Rattus norvegicus: one gene and its partner. The protein of the gene in region 1 purifies or fractionates together with the protein of each later gene. This does not show direct contact. Links are inferred from orthologs where the notes say so. Each region holds a gene or a part of one and is shown in the gene's direction. Other genes may lie near its edges.

Region 1 (3,913 bases):
AAGTCTTTTACATAGTGAGACTGTCTCAAAAACGAACAAACAAAAACTAAACAAGATTGAGAGATGGGGGCGGGGCACGAGGGGGTAGATGTAACTCCATAAGGCATTTTCCTCACATGTGGGAGTTCAACCCATAGCACTAAAATAATTAAATGTATCATTTAGTTCATATAGACATTAGTGGTTGGTTACCTTCCTGACCTGTGCTCCTTTTTAAAAAATATTTAAGCTGAGCAAGAGGAGCACGCATGGCAGAAAAGAAAATTCCTGACTTCAACCTGTGCACTGTGACGATCACAAGCGCACTCACACACAAATAATTTTAAGTTTTTTTTTCCTTTTTCTTTTTTTTTTTTTTAGGAGCTGGGGACCGAACCCAGGGCCTTGTGCTTGCTAGGCAAGCGCTCTACCACTGAGCTAAATCCCCAACCCCCAATTTTAAAACGTAAAGTTAAAATTTTTTGAGAGATCTGTGACATTTGGAGACACTAAATAATTCAAACAAGTGTTGAGGGGAGGGTCATCAGGTTGCTAGATTATCAGTGTTCCTCTTCTTCCCTGTCCAGGTTCACTTCTTTCAGGGCTACACAAGACGGACTAGCAGGCTTTTCTGAGGAGTGATCAGAAGCACAGAAAGGGCTTCCAATCCCCATAAATCTTAACCCAGCACTTTCTCTATAGCCTCGCCCGGCAGCGGCCCGGTTCTTGGGAGACAGAAGACATCCTTGGCAACATAGCCAGTTTAAGACTAGCCTTCACTACATGAAACCTTGCCTTAAAACAAAAAAGGCCAAATTTCGTGGCATACTCCTTTAACTGCAACTTTAATTGTACTTCCGTAAGTCAAAGTTAAAGCCGCGGTCTCCAACCGAGAACTAAACACGAAGCGGAAAGGGCGGAGCTCCGTCAGTGCCACGTAGGGGCGGTGAGCCGCTGTAGTTCGGTAATGTGCCGTTTAGCCTCACTTCTGCTTCCACGGCATGTTTTAATCTTCCGAGAAGCCTTTCTAAAAACCTGGTGCACCTGGCTTCAGAATGCATTTGTACAGCGCTGCCTGTATGTTGCGTGGCAGAAGAAACGACGATACTGCGATCTACTTCTCCAGTTCCTCCCACTTCATAGTGCAGCCATCTTTGGGCAGCAGTGAATCATGGGAATCCCCGCCTTGCTCTCCGAGTATTTCCGGTTCCGGCGGAGGCCGCTCTTTCTTTTTCTCCGCAGGGTCGCGGTGGCAGCCGCTGCGGTGCTTGGCTCCCTAAGCTATCCGGTGCCATCCTTGTCGCTGCGGCGACACTCGCAACATCTGCAGCCATGACCGAGCAAATGACCCTTCGTGGGACCCTCAAGGGCCATAATGGATGGGTTACACAGATCGCCACCACTCCGCAGTTCCCGGACATGATCCTGTCGGCGTCTCGAGGTACGGGGCTGCATGCCGGGTGAAACACCCTGTGTCCTGGTGACTGCATGTCTCGTGGCTAAGCAAGTGGCGCTCGTGTTGGCTGGCTCGGTCCGTTCCCCGACCCAGGTGTGAGTTGGGGCGTGCAGACCCGAACATGGGCCCCAACCGGGGCGACCCTTTACATATGAACGGAAACCGGGACTTGTCACGCAAGTGCACAGCATGGCGATTTTAATGCATCTCTCGCTTGCTTTCTGGAGATGTGTTAACGAAGTAATTACGTGGCTACAAGCCAGGCGGAGCAATGATGACCCCAACATGCCATCTGAGTTGCTTTGCTGAAATCCAGAGGCTGTTTCTGAGCTGCCACCGCCTGGCCCTGAACTCTAGGTGCCTTGTTCCCCAGAATTCCGGGCTTGCCCGTCCTGCCCTAGATTTTCTTTCCTTGTAACTAATGCTATTTTTTCTTTCATGATATGTCTCCATGTATTTTTCCCTCTCAGGTCCTCCCTACTTGCCCAAAATTATGTTCGTCCTCTCTCTCCTACCTAATTAATGCTAGGCTTATCGGGCTTTCTGTTGGTTTCTGTGTAAGTCGAAATGGTCGTGGCTAGGACTGTGTATGATGCTGCCGTAACTGCTGCCTTTCTGTTAACTCTCCGAGGCGGGAAAGTGTCTCTGCTCATCCTACACCCAAGTGACAGTGCTTTTGCTATTGAGTTAGCCGCATCGATGGATAAGGCTAGAGTTTGAACACCATAGACACATATAGTGTGCGCGCGCGTACACACACACACGTAGGGAGCCACATTAAATAAGTTTTTTTATGTTGAACTTAAATCTCAACTCCAGGAAGTGTGTTGCCCATCATCTCAGATTACAGCTTAGATCTACGTCTCTGTGGAATAGTGAGCCTCTTTTACTTCAAATTTGCCGTTTTTCTGCCATTTACCACACCAGTGACCTTAGGACTGTAACTTGTGCGTGGTAAGTAGTAGGTTTTGGGGGTCCTCATGAGATTTCTTTACCAACCTTTTTAGACAAGACCATCATCATGTGGAAGCTGACCAGGGATGAGACCAACTACGGCATACCACAACGTGCTCTTCGAGGTCACTCCCACTTTGTTAGCGATGTTGTCATCTCCTCTGATGGCCAGTTTGCCCTCTCAGGCTCCTGGGATGGAACCCTACGCCTCTGGGATCTCACAACGCAAGTAGCTGCTTTGGGGCCTTGGGGGAAGGTGGGCAAAAGTGAGGTAGATTCCCCAGGGTGTGGTCTTCCCTTGGTAATCAGTCCTTTTGTTTGAGGGAAGGCAACATTTTGGGGTGTTAGGCTTCCCTTGGAGCTGCTTTTTTTTTTTTTAACTGGGTACCATGGGCTATTAAGTTGTCTCGGGTTGTAAGTTGTCTTAGATGGACATTGGCAGATGGACATTGGCAGATGTAATAGAGGATCCTAGTGATGACAAGGAGACATTGTCAACCAATCCCCACAAGGGAATGAGGACATGTCCTGCAATTCTGAATGGGTTCTCTGGTACATATCAGACATGGGCTAATAGTAGGTTCTGAACCACTTGTGGACTGTGGAGTATAATAGAGCCTACAGGGTAAGGGTGGGGCTAGGAAAAGGATCTAACTGGATGGGTGAAACCTGTCTAGAAAGTGACCAGGTTCTCCCTCTTAGGGGCACTACCACGAGACGATTTGTCGGCCACACCAAGGATGTGCTGAGCGTGGCTTTCTCCTCTGACAACCGGCAGATTGTCTCTGGGTCCCGAGACAAGACCATTAAGTTATGGAATACTCTGGGTGTCTGCAAGTACACTGTCCAGGTAAAGGGGTAAGGGTGGTAGGGACGGCGTCCAGGGCTGTCTCCCACCCCCTGGGGGCTGTTTTTAGGGTGCGTTCATCACTGTGTGGTCCTGGTGGCCTCAGGTGATCTGATTCCTAGGTGTGTACTACTACCACCTGGCACTTTCTCTTGTGTATTGTTAGCCCTGTCTGGGATTTTGTTTTTAAACTTTGTGTGCCTGCTACCTTGTGACTGGACTGGCATGGGGCTCAGAGGAGTTGGAGGGATTGTTTGTTTGTGGGTTTCTGTGTAGGTAGACCTGCATGAGATCATGTGCTTCCAGACTGCTGGGGTTAAAAGGCCTTCTTTTCCCCCTTTAATCCCATATTAGGTTGAGCTGTGGAAACCCAAACCACGGCATCAGTTGGGCAGGGTCTTGGCACATGAGCAGATACCCAGATGTCTCTCATAACTGCCCTAAGGTTTAAATGATCTTAAGTCTCTCACCTATCTCCTAGAGATGTGTTTGAGGGGTTACAAGCCAGGCCCAACAGTGATGACCACAACATGCCATCTGAGTTGCTTTGCTGAAATCCAGAGGCTGTTTCTGAGCTGTGCCTGGTCCTGTGCTCCATGAGTAATGAGTGGGTGAGCTCTGGGGTCACCTTAGGACTCAAATGTCAGCAGGCTTGACAGGTGGCTTTGCCCCTGGTC
Region 2 (3,913 bases), about 70 Mb from region 1:
CAGTACATACTGAGACCCTGTCTCAGCAAACAAACAAATGAAGACTTAACTACAGAAGCGGCATGAACCCTAAGCTGATGAAGCCCCGGCTAAGAAGGGAAGCCCCACTGGAAAGCTGGCGCACATTCACAGGGCATGGCACAGATTTGCTGAATGAGCACCAGGAAGCACTTTAAGCTAACTACCTGTTCTTCAACTAGAGCACATGCAGAATGCAAGCCAGTCACAGCCAGTAGCCCCTCAGCTTGTGCTCCTATTGGAAAGGAGCCCTGGGCGTGTTGATGGATGGCTAGGTGTGTGTGGACTATTGGTGCAGCAGACCTGGAGTCCGGTGTGTGTGTGAGGAGGAGTCCCATGAGAGACAGTTGGGAGGTGGCTAGTAGTAGGGACTGGAATTAGTTCAGTGCTAAGAGTGCCATTGGATGGGATGCTAGGCTGCCAGAGCCAAGGTTGCCCATGCTAAGCCTAGGCCTGTAACCAGCCAGCATCTGGGCTTCAAACCCACATACTAACCTCACAGTGCCACGGTAACAGGTGTCAAGAGGGTCCTTCCTCCTGCAACTCCCCATGGTGCTGACTGAAAGAAGGGCCAGAGCCTGTGTTACTGGGAGAGCATGGAGCCATCAGGAAAGAGATAGTGACCCCTGATGCATGCACACCACTTGGGCTAGCTATAGCACTACAGCCTAGGTGTTAGCTGTCTTCACTTTTTAAAACAGAGTTCTTCCATGTTGCATATCTTGTAATAGCTCTCCAGCTGAACAGGGCTCTGTATAAAAAGATAATCCGTGTCAGACAAACATGAAGTTAGAGCATACATGGGAATCACCTCCACAGAGCCTGATCTGTTGGATGAGTTGGATAGAAATCACAGATCATTTCTAATAGGGAGCCCCAGTGATGGCAGTCTCTGAGACAGCACTAAGTGTCCTTACTCTGTAGACCCCACACAAAGCCCTGCACTAGTCGATTTCTCCACAGTTGTGGGCAGAACAAACGAGACAGCTAAGCCACTTGACAAAAAAGCAGGGCAGCAGCTGTCATACTGGAGGGGAACCTCCATTTCTGACTCCTCTCAAAGTGGCTCTATCATGTTGATGACATTGTCTAGATCAAGACTTTGTGCACAAATAATATCCCTGCCCTGTATCCTGAGTGTGGAGTTTCAAACCCAGGGCCTCACGTACAAGGCTACAAGCACCTGAGCTATGGCGGCAGCACCCTCCTACATACAGGTTAGTCTAGGGGTTAGCCTGTGGGCCACTCTGGCCTTAAACTTGTGATTCTCCTGCCTCAGCCTCCCAGACAGCTGGAATTACAGTCCTGTGCCCTCACTCCTGGTTGCTTTTTTACTTCTTCATTGGCTTTAAAGTAGTCATCATACTAACACTGCTTCTTAAATATTTAATAGGGTAAAAGAACAGGAAACACAAGAAGAGGAACGTTTGATGGAAGAAAAGAAAAAGAAAAAGCAGGAAGACAAGAAAAAGAAGGAAGGTGCTCAGAAAAAGGTTTGCTAGGACTCCTTCCATGTCCTCCATGTCATGTCTGCATCAACATGGCTGTCTCATGTCCAAGGTTGATTCTAGTACTGTTTTACGTCAATATGCCGAGTCTGGAATGAGTAAATATAGACACTTGGCTAGTGAGGCGAGTACAGAGTGCCGGTTACAGAAGGTCTTTTCTACAGCGTCAGGCGTACTGAAGCTGTGTCCAGGGCAGCGCAGCTTCTGTGTAAAGAACGCTCTTGCTGCCTCCTGAGAATGGACCGCCCAGCCCAGCCCACCCACAGCAGCCTATCGAGACATCAGGGAGAACCAGGAAACTGACAGTATTAGAAAAGCTGGAAATAATTGTTACAGTCTTAGTAAACATTCTTTATAAATCCTTATAAATAAATAAGTTCTGTAAACCAGTTTGGAGAGATGACTCAACAGTTAGAAATATTTTCTTTTTAAAAAAATTCTGTTTTTTAGAGCTCTAATTTAAACCTTATAGTCATATTTTTTATTTTGTGGCATGTAAAATAGCCAAATTATACTACCCACCCTTGCTTTCATCTCTGTACTGAGCCGTGAGATTGGAAGGATCCTTCTAGACTGACACACAGGGAGTTCAGATAGTGTCCATTACAATGTTTGCCAGTCACTAACTTAGCACTGTCCTGTGGTCAGAGTAGGATTTTTCTCAGTAGTAAATTAGCTAAATAAAAGGTTTGCTTTTAAAATTTTAAGAATTAAAAGTTTTAGTCCCAATAGTCACTCACACTCACTTGCTTGCTCCCCCCGACCCCCAAATTAAAATGAAAGGAAAACAGAGGCAGGCAGATTTCTGTAAGACTGAGGCCAACCTGGTCTGTGCAGTAAATTGCAAGACAGTCAAGGCTCCATGTCTCAAAGAAACTAAGAAAAAAACCCTAAAATAATTAAAAGTCTGCCTATAAACCTTCATCAGTGTGGACATTGCATTCAATTGTCTCTAAAAAGTTTCTCTTTTTTTTTTTTTTTTTTTTTTTTCAGGCTGCTGATCAAAAAACCAAAGGTAAGTTTTTTTTTTTTTAAATAATATATTTTGTGAGGGGAATACTTTTTATAGTAGCTTCAAACTTTGCAATGGTGTGACTTTTGTAAAATTTATTTTATGTTTATGGGTATTTTGCCTGCATGTTTGTCTGTGCACCAAGTGTGTGCAATGTCCAAAAGGCCAGAAGAGAGCCTTGGATCTCCTAAAACCGGAATTAAGACAGTTGTGAGCCACCATGTGGGTGCCCAAAACTGAACCAGGTCCTCTGCAAGAGTATCAAGCCTGGAGTTAATTGATACCTGGTGGGTGAAAACAGAGGCTCTAACTGTCTTCTATTGTACTTTCAGTATACATTGTGAAGCTCTTCATTTATGACTGATTTTATTCTGTGTTTTTTTCATTGTCATTAGGTTAATATAAAACTGCCTAGAAAATGTCATCTGCATTTTAAACAACACTTTAAAATTTCCTTTTGATTTGATTCCCACCAAATAAGGATCAAATTCAGGAATAAGAAGACCCAAAGAAAACTGAATATTTTTAAAGCTTGAAAGTCCTTGCTGCCATCTATTTCTTGCAGTGTAGCTTGTTTCTCTCTTACTGATGGTCAGAGGCGTCTTTCTTTCCAGAGCTGGCTGGCCTGTTGTTTTGACAGTGTCGGTGGGAACACAGGCAGCTCTCAGTGGATGTAGCTCAGGCGTGCTGAGTATGCTAAGCTCAGGGAAGCTGTACTCCCAGACGCCCACCTTCATACCTGAGTCCATAGGGACGGTTAGGAGAGGCACATGCCGTGGGTCACAGAGGCCAGCTCTGTTCCATCGTGCAAGGTGCTGCTTTAATCTTCAGGTGCCACATCTTTAAAATGAGAGAAGTCGATGGATTGCTCTTGCCTGCTAGGGCTGCTGTACAGACAGATGAGCCAGCCCACACGGGAAGGGTAGTGTGGCAGCTGGAGTGTCGCTGGGGTCCAGTGGAGGGCTGTGGCACTGACTGGCATGTCCTTCTTTTGTCTTCCCGTGGACACACAACTGCACATGCAGATGCTTACATCATAAGGATTTTTGCAAAAGTTCTGTCAGCTGCTCTGTAGTAATACTTCGTATCTAGTTGGCATCTTGTAGTTTTAATATCAAAATTATGTGTAGAATCTGAACTCATAATTGAGCAGGACTTAGATTAAGTTGTTGGTTTTTCTATTAGTAAATGCAGAACTAGTGGAACTACAGCTTTGACCCTGTGTGTTAGTCCTTAGTCTTAGTTCCTAGAGATGGGTTTGCTGGTAATGGGCATTAGAAGCAGCAGGGTTCTGCTCTGTTAGAATCTTTTCAGAAGGCTCCAAAAGGACTGGCTATGGCTGTATCTGAATTTATGATCTCAAATAAAACAGTGG

What was found.
Region 2: the proteins of Rack1 (region 1) and Tnrc6c purify together in Homo sapiens (affinity purification with mass spectrometry; 3 studies listed by BioGRID and IntAct, counting the BioPlex papers as one, with this or other methods). This does not show direct contact. The link is inferred for Rattus norvegicus from reciprocal best matches to the Homo sapiens genes RACK1 and TNRC6C.

The regions. Positions count from the first base shown.
Region 1 is NC_086028.1:33,669,372-33,673,284, forward strand, and holds the start of Rack1 (small ribosomal subunit protein RACK1), read left to right. Parts: upstream 1-1,178; 5' UTR 1,179-1,311; coding exon 1,312-1,420; intron 1,421-1,700; exon of another isoform or gene 1,701-1,768; intron 1,769-2,442; coding exon 2,443-2,614; intron 2,615-2,856; exon of another isoform or gene 2,857-2,936; intron 2,937-3,091; coding exon 3,092-3,239; intron 3,240-3,746; exon of another isoform or gene 3,747-3,814; intron 3,815-3,913. UniProt on the Homo sapiens protein: Scaffolding protein involved in the recruitment, assembly and/or regulation of a variety of signaling molecules. Interacts with a wide variety of proteins and plays a role in many cellular processes.
Region 2 is NC_086028.1:103,410,873-103,414,785, forward strand, and holds the start of Tnrc6c (trinucleotide repeat containing adaptor 6C), read left to right. Parts: upstream 1-1,448; coding exon 1,449-1,511; intron 1,512-2,519; coding exon 2,520-2,541; intron 2,542-3,913. UniProt on the Homo sapiens protein: Plays a role in RNA-mediated gene silencing by micro-RNAs (miRNAs). Required for miRNA-dependent translational repression of complementary mRNAs by argonaute family proteins.